2 linked regions of the Stegostoma tigrinum genome follow. The protein of the gene in region 1 purifies or fractionates together with the protein of each later gene. This does not show direct contact. Links are inferred from orthologs where the notes say so. Each region holds a gene or a part of one and is shown in the gene's direction. Other genes may lie near its edges.

Evidence for each region. Proteins that work in one complex are often made in the same cells at the same time.
Region 2: the proteins of usp36 (region 1) and dhx33 purify together in Homo sapiens (affinity purification with mass spectrometry; 5 studies listed by BioGRID and IntAct, counting the BioPlex papers as one, with this or other methods). This does not show direct contact. The link is inferred for Stegostoma tigrinum from reciprocal best matches to the Homo sapiens genes USP36 and DHX33.

Annotation. Positions count from the first base shown.
Region 1 is NC_081375.1:16,692,401-16,703,224, reverse strand, and holds the start of usp36 (ubiquitin carboxyl-terminal hydrolase 36), read left to right. Parts: upstream 1-5,786; 5' UTR 5,787-5,873; intron 5,874-10,824. UniProt on the Homo sapiens protein: Deubiquitinase essential for the regulation of nucleolar structure and function. Required for cell and organism viability.
Region 2 is NC_081380.1:837,355-848,178, forward strand, and holds the start of dhx33 (ATP-dependent RNA helicase DHX33), read left to right. Parts: upstream 1-3,848; 5' UTR 3,849-3,900; coding exon 3,901-4,084; exon of another isoform or gene 4,085-4,134; coding exon of another isoform or gene 4,135-4,189; intron 4,190-8,827; coding exon 8,828-8,988; intron 8,989-10,824. UniProt on the Homo sapiens protein: Implicated in nucleolar organization, ribosome biogenesis, protein synthesis and cytoplasmic dsRNA sensing. Stimulates RNA polymerase I transcription of the 47S precursor rRNA.

The DNA of each region.
Region 1 (10,824 bases):
ACCATCAGCCTCCTAGCCCTGTGGTAGCATGTATCTCTCCAACACCAACCCACCCAGTGTTCTACCCCTCCCATTAACTTTGCTGCGACGCCTCAGGCAGGAAGGAGTCTACAAATGGTGCTTCCATGAGTTGAACCTCTCCATAGTTATTCCTTCATTACAAACTACTCAGCATCATATGCAAGCTTAATTCTATCAAGCCTGATGCCAAAGCAGTTGTACCAAAGCCAGTGACTATTGCTGCAGAATGGTGGTTGAATGCAATTTTCCTCCTCCTGTCCTGGAGTTAGGGATCTACTGTAATCTTTCAAAAGCGCTGTTACCATTATCCCAGCTGTTAATACTGAACAAGTAGATTGGACAAGCCAGAGTGGGAATTTACTTGATAGATCACAAGTTTTATTTTTGTTTGCTTGATGGAGCTCAATCAGCAAACATTCACAAGACTCTGTCAATGAACATTTAAAATAAATAAAGATTTCTTACACCAAAGAGGGGGAAAAAGAAGCATGTACAATGTTAAACAATACAAGTGACAGGGAATGACTACCTCCAATAAGAGAGAATCTGATCAACACCTTTTGAGGAGCGATGGAAACGCCATTGACGAACTCCCAACTGTCAACATTCTTCGGGTTACCGTTAAACAGAAACTGAACTATACAAGCCATATAAATGGAAAGGCTACAAGAGTAGAGTGGAAGCTCAGAATCCTGCAGTAAATAAACCACGCCCTAACCCCCCCAAGACCTGTCAACTATCTACAACGCACAAGTCAGATTTGCAGTGAATACTCCCCATTTGTCTGGATAGCTACAGATCCAGCAACATTCAAGAAGCTTGACACTGTCCAGAACAAACCAATTCACTTGACTGGCAATACATCCACTACCTTCAAGCATTCACTTCCCTCTAGTGCTGATGGTCCGTAGCAGCATAGAACACAAAACGCAGACACTACAGTGCAGTAAAGGCCCTTCAGCCCTCGATGTTGCGCCGACCTGTGAACCAAACTGAAGCCCATCTAACCTACACTATTCCATTATTATTCATATGTTTATCCAATGCAGTGTGTGCTATTTACAAAATGCAATGCAGAAATTCACCAAAGTTCCTTCAGTAGCTACTTCCAAACTCAGCGCAACTACAAACAAAAATAGGCCAGTTGGCCCATCAAGCCAGCTCTGCTATTCAATAAGATCATGGCTGATCTGATTTTAACCTCAACTCAACATTCCGGCATATCTCGGATAATCATTCATCCCGTGAGCCATCAAGCAGTTATCTTCCTCTGCTACAAACATGTTTAAAGGTTCTACATCTACTGCCTTTTTGATGAGGTGGATTCCAAAAACTCAGAGAAAACATGTTTCCTTATCTCTGTTTTAAATGGGTACCCTCTTATTTTTAACCTATGACCTCTTGTTCGAGATTCTCCACAAGGGAAATATGCTTTCAACATCTATCTGGTCAAGTCCCCTTAGGATTTTATCTGTTTCAATTTAGTCACCTCTGAGTCTTCTAAACTCAAGTGGATACAGGCCTATCCTGTAACATTCCAGGTATTAGTTTAGCGAATGTTCTCTCAACTGCTCCCAATGCTTTATCAACCTTCGCTAAGTAGAATGACCAGTACTGAAAACAGTCTGCCAGCTGTAGGGTCACCAATGGCCTCTACAACTGAAGTATAACCTCGCTCATCTTGAATAAAGCGTAACATTCTGTTAATTTCCTGATTACTTGTTGTATCTGAAAAATAACTTTGTGATTCATGCACTAGAACACTGAGATCTCTCTGCATTTCAGAGCTCTTCAGCTCTCACCGTTTAGATTATTTAGATTATTTTTTATCCTTTCTGCAAAAGTGGACCATTTCAGCCATTTTCCAATTGTACTCCATTTGCCATATCCTTGACCACCCACTTATCTGTCTATATCCCTTTGCAGGCTCCTCGTATCCTCTTCCAAACTCAATTTCCTACTATCTTTGTGTCATTAGAAAATTTAGGTGCCACACCTTCGATCCCTTCATCCAAAGCATTTCCGTCAATTGTAAAGAGTTGAGGCTCCAGCATTGACCTCTACTGTACACTGCTCATAACATCCTTTCAGCCTGAAAGAGACTCACAAATTTCTACTCTCTGCTTCCGGCTAGCAAACCAGTCAAAACCATGTTGCCTCTGTCTGATTACCTTGGATAAGTTATCTTTATAACAGTGATTTTTAATATTTTCCCTGTGATATATGTTAACTGGCTTGCTTTCTGCCTCACTCTCTTTTTGAATAAAGAAGTTACATTAGCTATAAATTGAATATGTTTTGGAAAATTAAACATGCATCAACTTTTTCACTGGCAGCTCTAATGGCTAAACAGAAATTGCAGCAAAGCAGATGAACATTGGTATGGATTTACACAGATATAATAGCGAACAAATATAACTACTTTCTCAGGTTGTAGTAACTGGTGTTGCCTTTACTTCAACTTAATCGGGCATAGTTGCTGGGTGTAGCCTGCAGCTCAAGCATGGCAACAATCATGCTGCCCTGTCTGCACTGAAAACCGGATGTTTGTGACTATTGACATTACATCCCACCTCTACCACCCTGCTTGCCACAGTAACCTTTTTTTTTAATGCACTATTATGTCCCTCCTGCTTACAAATTGAGTTTCCCATCTTGTCCATTATTGTCCCCTCTGTATTCCAGCATGCTGCCTCCAATGCCCAGAATTGACTTCTCCAGCATCCCTTCCGTAGCCGGTGCCCCTGATAAACCCTGTTGACTATAAGCGAGCTGACCGCCCAAAACTGAAGACTGACCAGATCCCTGACTGATCTCTGTACAGCTCCCGACTGACTTACTCAGAGTCCCCAGACTTTTTGCACTGAACCTGCAAGTCTGACTGTCGTGCACTTCCTGGTCTTCAGACTATCGGCTCACTGAGTCTGACCATCGCAAGTTCCTGGCTGGCCATGTCCAAGCCACTCGACTGATAATGAATGATGTCCTTGACTTACTGTGCCAGGACCTCCTGACTGAAGGCTATCTTCCTTGGCCTGACTGAGAAACAGTCCCTCATACTTTGAGACTTGGCTGTTTGGTTGAACAAATTTCAGTGAGTTTGCCGCATAAGGTACTAGCAAATGGTGCAGGTATCAGATGAACATAGCCTAACACTGTGTGGCAACATGTTCATTCCTTTGACTGATCACTTCTGACAATGAAGTCAAGCTACCTAGTTTTGTGTCTGTGAAGCAAGGTGAGAAAAGTTTGACGAGCCTCTAAGCTCTAGCTGATAGGGCACATCGCAAAAAGGCAAGGCATAGGCTCTGTGAGTATTGAAGAAAGCACAAAGTGAGTGAGCACTAAAAGACCCAAGCAAACAGCCCTGAGGTACACCCTAGTCCAACTAGGTGCTAATCCCTGCAGGCAAATTATCTTGGCAGTATTGTTACAGTGATAAGTGCCAGTACACTCCAAAATGGGGCATTGAAGAGCAGTTGTAAGTGTTTTGGAGATATTTCATGAGGGTGCAGTGAGTCTGGTATGTGTCCATGCCAAGGCCCGTGCTGTTGTTGTCAATGGAGCAAGCCTAAAATGTTCTGTACTGTTGATCAAGGTAAAGGTTTGGAAAAGCAAGCAATGAGCTGGAGCCACCAGATACCCTCTCTGACTTTAATGTTAGAAACTCTTGGCATCTAGTTTCTATCCACTAGCTGGGAGAATGGCAAACTGCATATCAATGAGGAGAGATTAGGTAAAAAGACATGTAGCATGTGCAAAATAGATCTCTCGTGGCTCACCAATGACATTCCTGTCTCGCCATTCAAAGATTGGTTGACCTGACTTTTTTCCTTTTGTCAATGAGAGTGTAATTTCTGCCAATTTCAATGTTTTCCCAACTGACTCATTAATGCCCATGTCATTTGGGAGCAGGAAGAATTCAAACCAATATGTCTAATATTGGGCAGTGTGAAGGATGTGAGCCAGTGCCAAGAAGTTGCACAAATGTTGGTTCCAGGTATAAGTACAGTTAAATAGATCGAAGAGAGAAACTGAGGTTGTTCTCCTTAAAGAGGGGAGATTTGATAGTATTCAAAGTCATGAGGAGTCTAGACAGTGCGAACAGAGAAGAGCCAAGAGACCGAGGACACTGATAGAAGGTGAATACCAAAAGGAGCAATGTTGTCAATAGGAAATGCTTTGTATACATGTGTTATACTGTACACGTATGGGCAGCGCGGTGACTTGATAGCTCACTGCTGCCTCACAGCACCATGGTCCCGGGTATAATTCCACCCTCGGGTCTGTGTGGAGTTTGCACATTCTCCCCGGGTCTGCATGGATTTCCTCTGGGTGCTCCAGTTTTCTCCTACAGTCCAAAGATGTTAAATTAGGTGTTTAGCCGAGAGAAATGCAGGGTTACAGGGATAGGGTAGGATGTTCTTCGGAGGGTCGTTGTGGACTCAGCAGACCAAATGCCCTGCTTCCACACACTGTGGCGATTCTATGCTTCTGTTTACAACATATATCGTCAGCACATTTGATACTGTACACTCTGCTCCCTGGAGGGGAGGTAAAAGCAGACAGCTTGATCTCATTAAAGATAACAAAGTGTGCAGCTGGATGAACACAGCAGGCCAAGCAGCATACTAGGAGCACAAAAGCTGACGTTTCAGGCCTAGACCCTTCATCAGAAAAAAAAGCTTGATCTCATTGTCAGAAGGGATCAATCAAAGGAATGAACATGTTGTTCATCTGATACCTGCACCATTTGCCAGTACCTTATGCAGCAAACTCACTGAAATTGGTTCAACTAAACAGCCAAGTCTCAAAGTATGGAAGGAGTATTTCTCAGTTAGGCCAAGGTAGACAGCTTTCAGTCAGGAGGTCCTGGCACAGTAACTCAAGGATACCATTCATTATCAGTTCCTGAGGAAGGGTCACCGGACACAAACATTAACTCTGTTTTCTCCTTCACAGATGCTGCCAGACCTGTTGAGCTTTTCCAGCAACTCTGTTTTAATCCCAGCCGACTGTGTTTGCAAACCAATTCTTAATCCATGGGTGAGGGCCTGAAGAGAAAAAGAAGTTGCAAATTATGGGGAAGGGGTCGTGAAGTGGTCTAGCTGTCTTGCTCTTGCTGAGAACTGACGTGAACATGACTGGTTGAATGACCTCTCTCAGTGCTATAGTAATCATTCAACGATGATTTTCATCCTCCCAAAAAAGCTAAAGCAAAGCAAGTATACAACAGGGAAATGTTCTCCATATGATTCACCAGTTATTGAAGGTGATTTGACAGTTGTGCATTCTAGATTTTCTCTAATTCCTTCCAGGGTACACTTTTTGCTACAATTATGTGGTGCACCCAGAGATGTCAAAAACCATTTCAACTTCGTTTGACGATTAAACACAGAATTACAATTTGAAGTACTTTTTATACTCACACATCTTTAATACATCTAAAAATGCACGTGGCCAGTTCCTGCTTGTACAACAATAATTTGCTGAAACAAAAACAAAGTTGCTGGGAAAGCTCAGCAGGTCTGGCAGCATCTGTGGAGGAGAAAATAGAGTGAACGTTTCGGGTCCTGTGACCCTTCCTCAGAACTTGCTGGACTCTGGTGCCTGACATTTATTTGCATTTTGCTGGGGTTTTTTTTGCTCAGAGCGGCATTGAGTCCTCCCTCCTGCATATCCAAGGAAGGTGGCGATGTAACAGTTTGCTTCTCCTAATATTTAGTTCAGATTGGATAATTCCTCCCATGTGACAGGCTGAGTCGCTGGTTTGCTTTGCTGTGTGTGAAGAGTTTTTCACTGATTGCATTTGTTCATTCCGCTGGTGATGTCGAGAAATTGAAAAGTATCAGGTAATTTTTTTAACCGACTCTTCACAAAGTTACCCTGCTCGTTCTGAAACAGTGGAAGTTGTGGGAACAAACTTGTCTGATTTGTTGTCCCGAGATTAAATTAATGATTATACTTCAGATCTTTCCGTTCTGTTTCCTCGTTTTCTTCCAGCTGGTCGGTTCCCTGCTGATTTTTAAACCTGCGAATGTCAAATTAAATTCGATCCCCAGAGACCTGGCCACATAATACAAATAAGTAACAAACACTGCAAATTGTGTAAATCGGTTAACAGAAACGGGGAAATTGGAATTGCATTCCTGAGTAAACAGAAGTTGGTCGTCAGGCTTTGTTTCAAGTTTAAGACCCTTCCTCTGGTCTTGAATATTGATTCATTGAACTTTTGGAATACTGCAATATGCTGAGTATTTCCAGAGTTTTCTTTTGCTGAAAAGTTCAACACATCTGTTAAAAACAATAAGGTGTTGATCTGCTGTCAGGACTGTTTCTAGCTACCTGTTATATAAAGACTAACTTTTTGGGAATAATCAGGATGGCTAGAAATACATTTGCTTGATTTTGACTAAAGTAAATCCACTCCATCTGCTAAATTGCTCCCAGAAGACCATGGTTAGTAACTTTGCAGATGACACCAAAATTAGTGGTACAGTGAAGAAGGTTATTTAAGATGGCAAAATGATTGTGATCAATGGGCTGAGGAGTGGCAGATGGAGTTTAATTTGGATAAATGTGAGCTATTGCATTTTGGTAAAACACACAATGACAGGACTTTTACAATTAGTGGTAGGGCTATCGGTAACGTTGTAGTACCCAGGGTTCAGGTATGTAATTCTTTGAAATTTGCATTACAGGTAGACAGAATAGTTAAGAAGGCATTTGGCATGCTTGCCTTCATTGCTCAGACCGTTGCCTCCCTTACTCAGTGAGGAAGGACTGCAGATGCTGGAAGCCAGAGTCTGTAGGTGTCAGGCTGGAAAAGCGCAGCAGATCAGTCATCAAATGAGGAGCAAGAAAGTCAGCATTTCGGCCCGAAACATTGACTTGCCTGCTCCTCGGATGCTGTCTGATCTGCTGTGCTTTTCCCGCCTCACACCTATAGAATTTGAGTATAGGAGCCAGGACATCATGTTGAGATTGTACAGGACGTTGGTGAGGCCTCTTCTGGAATAATGTGTGCAGTTCTGGTCATCGTGCTATTGGAAGGGTACTATTAAACCGGAGAGGGTTCAGAAAAGGTTTACTAAGATGTTGCTGGGACTGGAGGGTTTGAGTATTAAAAATAGGCTGGAGAGCTTGGGACTTCTTTCATTGGCGCACAGAAGATTGAGGGGTGACCTTAGGGAGGTTTATAGTCATAAGGGACTTGGATAAGGTGAGTAGCGTGGGTCTTTTCCCTAGGATGGGGGAATTCCACACTAGGGGGCATATTTTTGAGGTGAGAGGAGAAAGTTTTAAAAGTGCTTACTGAGAGGCAACCTTTTTACACAGATAGGTTTGGGTGTGGAATGAAGTGCCAGAGGAAGTGGGGGTGTAGGTACAGTTACAGCATTTAAAAACATTTGGCTAAGTATACGAACAAGAAAGATTTGGAGGGATATGGGCCAAATGCAGGCAAGTGGGACTAGTTGAATTTGGCAACATGGTTGGCATGGACTTGTTGGAATAAAGGATCTATTTCCATGCTGTAAGACTCTACGACTCTCTTTGACATAGCAGGTGTTGGCTATTCAGCCCATCGAGTCTACCCTACTATTCAAGCAGATGATGGCAACTCTTCTTTCCTGCCTCTGCCTCATCATCTTTGATTTTTTTCTTGATTAAAAATCTGCCTCTCGCAGCCTTGAACGTACTTCAAGATCCAACCATGAAAGCCCTGTGTCATAAAGAATTCCACAGATTCACTGCCTTCTGAAAGAAGAAAATCTTCCTCATCTCTGTCTTACTTTGAGATTAAGCCCTCTGGGCCTAGACTGTCCCATAAGGGGAAACAACCTTTCTGAATATACCGTGTGAAGTCCCCTAAGAATCTTGTATGTTTCAATAACATATAGCCTTCGCACAAAGTTACTTGGGGCCTAACACACACGCACACACATAGAAGTTAGAAAGAGATGGTGTTCAATTCAAAGGAAGATTAGACATAAATAGTTTAGAGTCCTTTGGGAGTCCCTGACCATAAGGTTTTATCTGAGATCACTGTCAGTTATATAAAACAAAAACACTACAGATGCATTCTCCTATGTCCTCCATCTCAATCACATCTTTTCTGATGATGCCACTTTCGCTCTCAGAAATGCCCACCTTTTTCCTCAACTGAGGATTTCCTGCTGCTGTGGTCAACAGGATCTTTAACCTTTCTCCTGCACTTCTGCCCTCACCCTTTCCTTTCTCCACCACAGCAAGGATAGGATCTCCCTGATCCTCACTTACCAGCCCACCAGTTTTCACATCCAAAGGATTGTAAGCTGCCATTTCCGTTACCTCCAGTAGAATGTCACAACCATGTGCAAATTCCCCTCCTCTCTTCTGCAGGGACCATTCCCGCCAGGATACCTTGGTTCACTCCTCCTCCATTCCCAAACATTTCCACACACCCCCAAAGCACCTTCCCATGCAAGTGCAAAGGCTGTGATACTTAGCTGTTTACCTCCTCAGGATCCAAGGACCCAGACACACCTAGGTGAAGTACTGTACTTGACTCAACCTAGTCTGTTTGCTGCTCACAATATTGTCTCCTCTATATTTGGGAAATGAAACACATTTGGGTGACTGCTTTGCAGGACACATACCTTCTGTCCAGTTTCCAGTTGACTGTAACTTAAACACACCACCGCGTTCCTTGGCCAACATCTCTGTATCAGGCTTGCCGCAGTGCTCCAGCAGGCTGGAAGAACAGCATCTTATTTTCTACTTGGGGGACCCTGCAGCCTTCAGGACTCTAACTTCAGAACCTGATTTCATCCTTCCATGTTCTTTGCCCACCCCACACCCAGTTCCGTTATGACATGGTGCTTTTAGCACAGTCACCTGTTCTCACCTACTCCTAGGCCAATTAACACGTTGTATGGGTTGCTTTCAGTGCAGCTCACCAACTCTGTCATCCTCTTAGCTCTTATTATTACTGGTTCAGCTTTTCTTCTGTCCTGGTTGGCTATCCAAAATCTCCTCCTTGTTTATCTACTCCTTTCATATCTTTCTGTGTGTGAGCTGCATTTCTGCCCGTCCGCTCATTGTCTCCTCCACCACCAACTTCAACACTTTTTCCCAGCTGCTAACCGTTCTCGTCATCAGATTTGAAACCTTAACTGTCCTTTCTTCTCCCAGATGCTGCCAGACCTGCTGCACGTGGCCGGTTAGCTCAGCCAATTAGAGCATGGTGCTAATAACACCAAGGTCGTGAGTTCACTTCCTGTACGGGCCAACTGTAGTTTTAGGGGAGACAATGGTCTAGTGGTATTACCGTTGGACTGTTATTCCAGAAACCCAGATAACATTCTGGGGACCTGGGTTCAAATCCTGCCATGTGAAATTTGAATTTAATAAAATATCTGGAATTAAGAATCTAATGTTGATCATGAATCCATTGTCAATTGTTGGAAAAACCCATCTGGTTCACTAACGTCCTTCAGGAAAGGAAACTGCCATCCTTACCTGGTCTAGCCTACATGTGACTCCAGACCCACAGCAATGTTGTTGACTCTGAATTGCCCTCTGGGCAATTAGGGATGGGCAATTAATGCTGCCTGGCCAGCGATGCTGTCATCCCATTAATGAATAAAGATTTCACCAGCAATTTCTGTGTTTATAATAGCCAGTTAACAGGTTTCTTGGATTATCAGCAGCAATGAATATAACAGTTTTAAGTTCTAGGTTTTTTGATATTTCTTTCTAATCAGCCCTGCCATAGGACACATTTCTTGTTGAGATAGAGCTTTCTCTGCCTTTGTTATGTTTAGTGTTGTACGTTAGTTCCATCATTTCTGGTCTGCCATAAAAGAGCTCCTTAAAATAGCAGTGTTTGTGTAGATTTCATGTCCCCTGAAATTGTGTTTTTCATTCTTGACAATTGTAGGCTCCGTCTCCAAAACGTGTGAAGATTCTCACAATGGTATGAACTGACCAGTGTTAATGCTTGGCAGAAATGCTAATTTCAGCTCAGACTGCTCTTGATCTAATCAATATCAGTTTTATTAAATTTGGGCAATGTGTGTGGGTCAGGCAATCCCTGTCGTCATCTTACATTAGTATTTCAGGCCATCAAATTCCCAGGTATTAAGTTGGCCAATGGGATTAAAGATCAATAGGCTGTATTTTATATCATATTGACATTCCCTGTGAATGTCTTGGGATATTTTATTACATTGAAGGTGCTAAATGAAGAAAGCATTGGTTTATGTTAGGACAGTACGGCTCATTAAGCTGGTGCATTGACAAAGCCATCAAATTACTTCCATTTTCTCAACGGTTACATTCTCCATAACCCTGCACATCTTTTCTTTTCAAATATATACGCAATTGAAAACGTTGTCAGTGGCACTTTGCACAAACTCTTCTTCTTTACCACTAACTACACCATCTTGTTTTCCCACTCTCTGTGATGAATCAGACTTCTCAATTTTAGCATGCGCTTACAGCCACAGCAAGCATTAAGCTTCATCTCTTACCAGTCACTGCTTATAGCTCAGAAGGAAGCCATTTGGCCTGCCATGACTGTGTTCGCTCTCTGAAGGAGCTTACTGCCACTCCCAGGCCATTTTCTAATTGCTGTTCATGTTCTTCCTTTACAGATAATCAAATTCTCTGGAATATTTAAATTAGATTAGATGCCCTACAGTGTGGAAACAGGCCCTTCGGCCTAACAAGTCCACACTGATCCTCAGAGCATCCCAACCAAACCCATCCCCCTATAACGCACACACTCCTGAACACTACGGGCAATTTAGCATGGCCGAT
Region 2 (10,824 bases), on another chromosome or scaffold:
GTGGGGAGGTAGGGTGGGGATAGGTTAGTCCAGGGAAGACGGACAGGTCAAGGAGGTGGGATGAGGTTAGTAGGTAGATGGGGGTGCGGCTTGGGGTGGGAGGAAGGGATGGGTGAGAGGACGAACCGGTTAGGGAGGCAGAGACAGGTTGGACTGGTTTTGGGATGCAGTGGGTGGGGGGGGGAAGAGCTGGGCTGGTTGTGTGGTGCAGTGGGGGGAGGGGACGAACTGGGCTGGTTTAGGGATGCAGTAGGGGAAGGGGAGATTTTGAAACTGGTGAAGTCCACATTGATACCATATGGCTGCAGGGTTCCCAGGCGGAATATGAGTTGCTGTTCCTGCAACCTTCGGGTGGCATCATTGTGGCACTGCAGGAGGCCCATGATGGACATGTCATCTAAAGAATGGGAGGGGGAGTGGAAATGGTTTGCGACTGGGAGGTGCAGTTGTTTGTTGCGAACTGAGCAGAGGTGTTCTGCAAAGCGGTCCCCAAGCCTCCGCTTGGTTTCCCCAATGTAGAGGAAGCCGCACCGGGTACAGTGGATGCAGTATACCACATTGGCAGATGTGCAGGTGAACCTCTGCTTAATGTGGAATGTCATCTTGGGGCCTGGGATGGGGGTGAGGGAGGAGGTGTGGGGACAAGTGTAGCATTTCCTGCGGTTGCAGTTGAAGGTGCCCGGTGTGGTGGGGTTGGAGGGCAGTGTGGAGCGAACAAGGGAGTCACGGAGAGAGTGGTCTCTCCGGAAAGCTGACAGGGGAGGGGATGGAAAAATGTCTTGGGTGGTGGGGTCGGATTGTAAATGGCGGAAGTGTCGGAGGATAATGCGTTGTATCCGGACGTTGGGAGGGTGGTGTGTGAGAACGAGGGGGATCCTCTTGGGGCGGTTGTGGCGGGGGCGGGGTGTGAGGGATGTGTTGCGGGAAATACGGGAGACGCGGTCAATGGCGTTTTTGATCACTGTGGGGGGAAAGTTGCGGTCCTTGAAGAACTTGGACATCTGGGATGTGCGGGAGTGGAATGTCTTATCGTGGGAGCAGATGCGGCGGAGGCGGAGGAATTGGGAATAGGGGATGGAATTTTTGCAGGAGGGTGGGTGGGAGGAGGTGTATTCCAGGTAGCTGTGGGAGTCGGTGGGCTTGAAATGGACATCAGTTACAAGCTGGTTGCCTGAGATGGAGACTGAGAGGTCCAGGAAGGTGAGGGATGTGCTGGAGATGGCCCAGGTGAACTGAAGGTTGGGGTGGAAGGTGTTGGTGAAGTGGATGAACTGTTCGAGCTCCTCTGGGGAGCAAGAGGCGGCGCCGATACAGTCATCAATGTACCGGAGAAAGAGGTGGGGTTTGGGGCCTGTGTAGGTGCGGAAGAGGGACTGTTCCACGTAACCTACAAAGAGGCAGGCATAGCTGGGGTCCATGCGGGTGCCCATGGCCACCCCCTTAGTCTGTAGGAAGTGGGAGGAGTCAAAAGAGAAGTTGTTGAGTGTGAGGACGAGTTCAGCTAGGCGGATGAGAGTGCCGGTGGAGGGGGACTGGTCGGGCCTGCGGGACAGGAAGAAGCGGAGGGCCTTGAGGCCATCTCCATGCGGAATGCAGGTGTACAGGGACTGGACGTCCATGGTGAATATGAGGTGTTGGGGGCCAGGGAATTGGAAGTCCTGGAGTAGGTGGAGGGCGTGGGTGGTGTCACGGACGTAGGTGGGGAGTTCCTGGACCAAAGGGGAGAAATTGGAGTCCAGATAGGTGGAGATGAGTTTGGTGGGGCAGGAGCAGTCTGAGACGATGGGTCGACTAGGGCAGGCAGGTTTGTGGATTTTGGGAAGGAGATAGAAACGGGCCGTGCGGGGTTGGGGAATAATAAGGTTGGAGGCTGTGGGTGGGAGGTCCCCTGTGGTGATGAGGTCGTGAATGGTGTTGGAGATGATGGTTTGGTGCTCGGGTGTGGGGTCATGATTGAGGAGGCGGTAGGAGGTGGTGTCGGAGAGTTGGCGTCTGGCCTCGGCGATGTAGAGGTCAGTGCGCCATACTACCACTGCGCCACCCTTGTCTGCGGGTTTGATGGTGAGGTTTGGGTTGGAGCGGAGGGCTGCCCGTTCTGCGGGGGAGAGGTTGGAGTGGGTGAGAGGGGTGGAGAGGTTGAGGCGGTTAATGTCTCGACGGCAGTTGGAGATGAAGAGGTCGAGGGAGGGTAGGAGGCCTGGGGGTGGTGTCCAGGAGGCGGACTTGTGTTGGAAGCGGGTGAAGGGGTCAGTGGAAGGAGGGTTGGGTTCCCGGTTGAAGAAGTAGGCATGGAGGCGAAGACGGCGGAAAAACTGCTCTATGTCCAACCGTGACTGGTATTCGTTGATGTGTGGTTGTAGGGGGACAAAGGTGAGCCCCTTGCTAAGGACTGACCGTTCGTCCTCAGTCAGTGGGAGGTCTGGGGGGATGGTGAAGATGCGGCAGGGCTCAGTGTGGCTGTCTTCTCTGGGGTTGCTGGCTGTGGAGGTTGTGGGCGGAGCGATGAGGTTGTCGGCCATGGGCGGGGTTCCGTCAGCCGTGGGCGGGGTTCCGTCGGCTGTTGGAGGATCGGGGTGGGCGGCAGCAGCTGCGGTGAGGGTGGTGTGTGTGGTGTTGTACCTGGACGTGGAGGTGGTGACTGCAGCAGCGGTTCCGGAAGTTCTGTGGCCGGCGGAGGCGGATGTGACGTCATCGGTGGGGTCTCCGGCCGTGTCCTCATGGTCAATGGCGGCGGGTGCATGGTGGGGGAGGGGCAGGGACAGAGTCGGGATTTGGGAGGCGCAGGAATCCTCTAGTGGGTCGCAGGGGCCCGTGAGTTGGTTGTACTTACGATTTTTGGTGTCCAAACCGCAGGAAATGCTACACTTGTCCCCACACCTCCTCCCTCACCCCCATCCCAGGCCCCAAGATGACATTCCACATTAAGCAGAGGTTCACCTGCACATCTGCCAATGTGGTATACTGCATCCACTGTACCCGGTGCGGCTTCCTCTACATTGGGGAAACCAAGCGGAAGCTTGGGGACCGCTTTGCAGAACACCTCTGCTCAGTTCGCAACAAACAACTGCACCTCCCAGTCGCAAACCATTTCCACTCCCCCTCCCATTCTCTAGATGACATGTCCATCATGGGCCTCCTGCAGTGCCACAATGATGCCACCCAAAGGTTGCAGGAACAGCAACTCATATTCCACCTGGGAACCCTGCAGCCATATGGTATCAATGTGGACTTCACCAGTTTCAAAATCTCCCCTTCCCCTACTGCATCCCTAAACCTGCCGAGTTCGTCCCCTCCCCCCACTGCACCACACAACCAGCCCAGCTCTTCCCCCCCCACCCACCCACTGCATCCCAAAACCAGTCCAACCTGTCTCTGCCTCCCTAACCGGTTCTTCCTCTCACCCATCCCTTCCTCCCACCCCAAGCCGCACCCCCAGCTACCTACTAACCTCATCCCACCTCCTTGACCTGTCCGTCTTCCCTGGACTGACCTATCCCCTCCCTACCTCCCCACATATACTCTCTCCACCTATCTTCTTTACTCTCCATCTTCGGTCCGCCTCCCCCTCTCTCCCTATTTATTCCAGTTCCCTCCCCCCATCCCCCTCTCTGATGAAGGGTCTAGGCCCGAAACGTCAGCTTTTGTGCTCCTGAGATGCTGCTTGGCCTGCTGTGTTCATCCAGCCTCACATTTTATTACTTCCTTATAACAATCTTCCTCCCGAAAGTTGTGAAAATCCATCACCCATCATCGACTACAATTCCGGCAAGGATCAGGAATATCCGGTCGCACTCGGAAATATCCGGCCAGAATCGGCAATTTCCGGTCTACCTCGGGTATTTCCGCCAAGACCGGGCTAGCAGCATGGTGGATTCTGTGCAACCGTAGGTTCGGGTGCCAATGGAGAGTCGGCCTCCTCCAGCAAAGAAGTTCAAAACATCATTGTCCGTGTGTGCTCAAAGGCGGGACAATGCACTCTCGCGGGAGATGGAGATTGACCAACAGCGGAGAGAACTGCCCATCTATCGGGCTCGGGGAAAGCTCCTTGGACAACTGCGACAGCTGGACGCGGCGGTGATCATTGGTAACCACCGTCGGCCGGCCTAACCAAAACCTCCCCCAAGCTAAGAAACAATGGAGTGTGGAACTGGAGGAACACGGCATCATCAGGGGAACAGTGACTCGAAATGTGAGCTTTCCTGCTCCCCTGATGCCACCTGGCCTGCTGTGTTCCTCTAGCTCCACACTGCTGTTGTCTCTGTTTCTAGCAGCTCTTAAATTCTCCCCCCCCAAACTAACTCGACCACCACCACCCCCAGCCGAACCATCCCCCAAACTAATACCACCACCACCACCCCCAGCCGAACCATCCCCCAAACTAATACACCACCACCACCCCCAGCCGAACCACCCTCCAAACTAATACCACCACCACCTCCCCAGCCGAACCCCCCTCCCAGCTAACGCTACCACCACCACCTCCCCAGCCGAACCCCCCTCCCAGCTAACGCTACCACCACCACCTCCCCAGCCAAACCCCCCTCCCAGCTAACGCAACCACCACCACCTCCCCAGCCAAACTCCCCTCCCAGCTAACGCTACCACCACCACCTCCCCAGCCAAACCCCCCTCCCAGCTAACGCTACCACCACCACCTCCCCAGCCAAACCCCCCTCCCAGCTAACGCAACCACCACCACCTCCCCAGCCAAACCCCCCTCCCAGCTAACGCTACCACCACCACCTCCCCAGCCAAACCCCCCTCCCAGCTAACGCAACCACCACCACCTCCCCAGCCAAACCCCCCTCCCAGCTAACGCAACCACCACCACCTCCCCAGCCAAACCCCCCTCCCAGCTAACGCAACCACCACCACCTCCCCAGCCAAACTCCCCCTCCAAACTAATACCACCACCACCACCTCCCCAGCCAAACCATTCTCCAAACTAACTCTACCACCACCAGCACCAAGCCCCCACCAGAACCAACCCCATATTAACCCCAAACTGAACTAACCTTGACCTCAACACCCTCCCATGAAACTGGACTACTACTGCCTGAAACCACGCCCCAAAAGAACCCACACTAAAATCAACTCCAAAACTACTCTTGCTGTCCCCCAGCCTCATTAAAACCTTCCCTGAACTGACATCCACCAAATAATGCCCTCTGTAACCAGCTCTCCCCCTAACTAACCCTATCTGAAACCATCCCTGAAAACCTACCCCTCCAAACTGACCACCAAAAACTAGCCTGTCCAATCTAATTCTTCCTAAACTAACCACCCCTCAAACTAATCACCCTTTTAAACTGTTCTCCAAATTAGCACTACCACTTTGAAACCATCTCCTGCACCCTCAGCTTAATTAAACCCAACCCCTAAACTAATCTACTCTTGGAACTACCTCCCAAAGAAAGCCCTGCACAAATTCCCAGGAAAAAAAAATCCCTGAAAACCAACTCCCAAATCAATCTCTTCCCTAAAACCAACCCCAAACATACTTTTCTGAAGCCATCTCTCAATCTGACCCACCTGCAAATAAATCGTCGCTCCAAAGCCCCCACCCAAAATCATATCTTTTCCCCCCACCCCCAACAAATCTATACCCCAAACTGATCCCTTCCTGGGAACCACATCCTTCCAAAAGCACACCCAAACTGAAAACCCCTTCCCAAACTCTCCCCCCAAACAGACCTAGAGTTACTTGCTATCTCCTCTCTCCCATTTTGACTAGTGTCATATTAGCAGTTTTCCAATAGTCTGGTACTTCTGCAGAGCACAAAGATTTTTGGAAAATAACAACCCTGAAATGGCAAACTGATTGCTGTCCCACTGGCCTTCTGACTCACCCCACCCTTGATACTTACCTTGACCCCATAGACCCACATACTCACCCTGACCACCCCGACACTCTCAGGATTGTGGGATGCCAACATCACACTGACTGCACCAGTATGTGGCGAATTACAACACCATTCGGTGACTGTAGCCTCATCCTGTGAGGAAAGGGGGACTGAATGAAAATTTGTCAGAGGTGTTTGCTTTTCAGTGAGATATTAAAACCAAGTTCTAGCTTCTAACATAACAGGTCCCTGACAGAGTAATGCAGGAAAGTTGGAATTTTTTCTGAGTCTGATCAATATTTGACTCCTAACCAATACCAATGAAATGAGAAATAAAACCCTAAAATGTTGGAACTCCCCAGCAGGTTAGGCAATATCTGTGGCTACAGAAGAATACACTTACAAAATAAGATTGCTTAATTTTGTCATTGTTACTTGTGTGGAAATAGGATTCACATTTACCTACAAACTAGTAGTGATAATCTTCAAAAATAATCGGCGGCAGAGTGCTGAGAAATGTATAAATCAGTGCAAGTTTGACCTGTTTCTGGTGTTCCAAGTTCTACAAGGTGGCAATTCCACTGGGTAGTAATTTGCACAGTATATTTTTGTGGAAAGTTGAGGTACATTTCAATATGACCTTGAAAGCAGCAGAATTTACCTCATCAAACATTGAAAAGATAATAGTCAGCTACTTCTTTCTGAAGTAATGCCATTTCATTAAAGAAGGTATACTGTTTTAGTAATTGTAAGTGGACTTTGAGATTGTTTGCAACCCAACTTCTGAGTTAATATTGCTTGACTTTGATTATTAAATTGAGTGGCACTATCTTTGCAACCAAAACAACATCTGTTCACTACATGCATCCCTTAAACATAGGGGCAGCTGGTAAATGATTGGATGGTGAAACTCTTATTAATAAATGTGTGTAATTATGAGGTATGACCATGATTGTGCTGAGGCTATACAAGTACGTAATTCACTTTAGTGCAGTCTGATTAAACCCTGTTTAACTTTAGTAGAAGTAACTTGCCTGTGTTAACATAAGAACTAGGAGCTGGAGTGGTTCATTCGGCTCCACAAGCCTGCTTCGTTTAATACGATCATGGCTGATCTCATCTTGGCTTCAACTCCACATTCCTGCCTGCTCTCCATGACCCTTCAACCTCTTATTAATTTAAGATCCATCTGTCTCCTCCTTTTTAAATTTGCTTAAAGTCAGAGCATCCACCGTACTCTGGGACGGCAAATTCCACAAATCAGCAACCCTTTTGAGAGAAGTAATTTCTCCTAATCTCTTCTAAAACTGCTATCCCTTATTCTAAGACAATTGCTTTTCATTCTAGATTGCCCTACAGGGGGAAACATCCTCTCTATGACTACTTTGTCAATCCCATTTCGCATCTTATATCCCTAAATCAGATCTCCTCTCATTCTTCTGACCTTCACAGAGGAATTGCTTAAATTGCTCAATCTTTCTTCACCTTTTGATTTAATCCCATGGACCTCCTCTGAACTGCTTCCAATGCAACTAAATCTCTCCTTGGGTAAGGGAACCAAAATTGTATGCAGTACTGCAGGGGCACTCTCACTAATGCCTCATATAGTTGCAGTAACACTTAATTTTTGCAGGTAAATTTTTGTTAAGCAAATGTATTAAGAGATGTAGAGAAAGGCCACACAGATCAGCTTTGATTTCAATGAATGGTAGATCAGGCTGGAGGGCTGAAAGGTTACAGGAATAAGCCATCCTTGTGTATGTTTATACTCTTCATTGAGCAATAAATGGCAAAATTCCATTGCCTTCCCCCCCCCACTCCCCCCGGCACCATTACCTGCTGTACCTGCAAACTAGCTTTTTGTAATTCATGCACAACAGCATCCAGATCCATCTGCACTGAACTACTCCGAGGTTCCTCTTGATTTAGATAATAATTTGCCTTTCTATTCCTCTGATGAAATAGATAGCCTTATGTTTATCCATGTTAAACTTCATTTGCCAAAATTTGGCCGATTCATCTAACCTGTCCATATCCATTTGTAAATTTCTTATTTCTGCATCAGTACTTACATTTCCACCTGTTTTAGTGTCGTTTGCAAGTTTGGCTATAGTGCTTTCTGTCCCTGCACCAAGTCATTAATATTGATTGTCAGGCCCCAACTACTTACAATCCGGCACCCTAGTAAATCTGTGTTGTGACCTAAAAGATCAATATATCCTGAGTATGTGTATAACATAGTGACCATGTCACTCAACCACTAACTCAGAACCCCAGACTGGAGACGTGTTCATTAAAACAAAATTGGAAAATAAATGTAGCCGTTATTGATTGTCTCAAAAACACATCTGGCTCATGAATCACCTTTGGGGAAGGAAACTTTACCTTGTCTGGCTTACATGTGACTCCAGATGCTTCCTGTGGTAATGTAGTTGACTTTTAACTGCACTTTGAACAATTGGAATGTGCAAACAAAGCTGATCTTGCTGCTGACTTCCAAAATCCATGGACATATAAAACCAAAAGCTTTTATGATAAACAGCCTGCATGGGTTTCCTCTGGGTCCTCTGGTTTCCTCCCACACTCCAAAGATGTGCAGGCTAGATGGATGGGCCATGCTGAATTGCCCATAGTGTTCAGGGACGTGTAGATTAGGTGGATCATGGAGAATGCATCTAGGTTGGATGCTGAGGGTCAGTGTGGACTTGTTGAGCCAAAGGGCCTGTTTCCACACTAGGGATTCTGAAGCCTACGAATACGTGAATATTTCTTTTAAATGTCTTGATGATTTCAGTACAGCATTCTTGAGCATTCCTTTCTTAGGATCTGGATTCCAATCTATACCATTATGATGAAGGACCACTCAAGGTATTAGTTGTGAGGGTTTTGAAAGAGATCAATTTAAAAGCCTTGGCCGGGCACAAAGCCCAGATGAGGGGACAACTTGCTAAACCTGGCTCATGTTACGATGTTTTTAATTCAAGGTGAGACAGGTTCGGGGAAGACGACACAGATTCCACAGTATCTGTATGAAGCCACCATCGGGCGACAGGGTATCATTGGCGTCACACAGCCCCGACGTGTGGCAGCAATATCACTTGCAGCTCGTGTCTCAGAAGAAAAGAAAACAGAGTTAGGCACGTTGGTAAGATTTTATTTTAACGCTTCTTGTAGTGTCAGCGACAAGGCCAGCATTTGTTGCTTATCCCTGGTTGCTTTTAATATGTAACTTCTAAGAACAAAATAAATAGGAAGAAGAATAGGTTTTTCAGCCCATTGCGCTAGCTCCACCATTCTAGGTCATTGTTGATCATCTCATTAATGAATGTAGCTGGCATTTGACTGCCTTTGCCTAAACTTCATGCTTTCCAAAAGTTGGAGCATTTTCTTGAGCCTGTCATCATGGGTGTAATTATTTGGAACTGAAATAAGTGGCTCATTTAAATAATGCACTATTCCCTGAATTTCTTGCAAACTGAGTGTTAATAGTCAAATATGACATTGACTTGTCAACTAAAGGGTGCAGATATGCGTTTTGTCTAAGTTTTGTGGGGAAAAAAACTCTAGATTTCTGATAATGTGGTGAATACATTCTTGACATTTTGTCAAATTTTCTGGTGGATTACATTTTTAGACCCTGACTATCAGTCAATTTATAATCCTACACTATCAATACTTGCTGGAGTTGGTGCAGGAATGAGGGCTTAAGACTCTGGGACCACTGGGTATGTTTTTGGGGAAGATGGGTACATGTTCAAGTCTTGAGTTTGCATCTGACCCACATAAAGGCCAAGATCCTGGTGTTGTTGGTTGGGGTTCAGTTTTGCAGAGTAAATGGTATATAGTTTGAGGTACAATAGTGCGCAATGCGCAGACAATTTGGAAGAAAATCCAAGCACTCTGGTTGTCAACATGTATGTAGTCAAGACACAAGGGAACTTAGCATGGGGTTGATGGCATTTATTTTAATGCAAGGAACCTTGTGATTGAGGGACCTGATTAACACATGGAAATACGATATTGCTGTCACAGGGACATGTTTGAGAGATGGGCAGGACTGGTAGTTCAGTATTCCAGGGTATAGAATATAGACATGGGGAGGGGTTTTAAAAAAAAGGTGACCCTACAATATTTATCAAAGGTCAGACAGGTGCTAAATCAGTGTCTTCTGACTGCATAGTGCACATATTATGAAATCTGGAAGACATTAGCCATTGAGATACACAGCATGCAAAAAGGCCCTTTTGGCCCACTGAGTCTGTGCCAGTCTAAAATAACGAACCTAACTATTATAATCACATTTTCCAGCATTTGACCCATAGCCTTGGCACTCCAAGTGAAATCCAAATACTTTTCAAATAGTATGAAGGCTTCTGCCTCGACCACCCTTACAAGGAGAGAATTCCAGATTCCCACCATCCTCTGGGTGAAAATGTTTTTTCTGACGTCTCTTAAACCTTTTGCTTACCTTAAATCTATGCTCACTGGTCATTGATACCTCCGTCAAGAGGAAAACTTTCTTCTTGTCTACAACGTGCAAACAGACCCTTGGGTTTAATTCATGAGCCGAAACAAAGTTGCTGGAAAAGCTCAGCAGGTCTGGCAGCATCCGTGAAGGAGAAAACAGTTAAAGTTTCAGGTCTGGAGACCCTTTGTCAGAACTCCCGAGGAAGGGTCACTGGATCTGAAATGTTAACTTTGTTTTCTCCTTCACAGATGCTGCCAGACCTGCTGAGCTTTTCCAGCAACTTTTTGTTCCTTAGGTTTAACTTGCCCATGCCGTCCACGTTTCCTGAACTAAACTGGCCCCACTTCGCTACATTTTGGTCCACATCCTTCTGAACCTTTCCAATTCATGTACCTGTCCAAATGTCTGTTTAAATGTTGTAACTGTACCTGAATCTATCACTTTCTGTGGCAGATTCCACATATTAACCGCCCTCTGTCTGTGTGTTTTTTTTGGGGGGGGGAGGGAATCTGC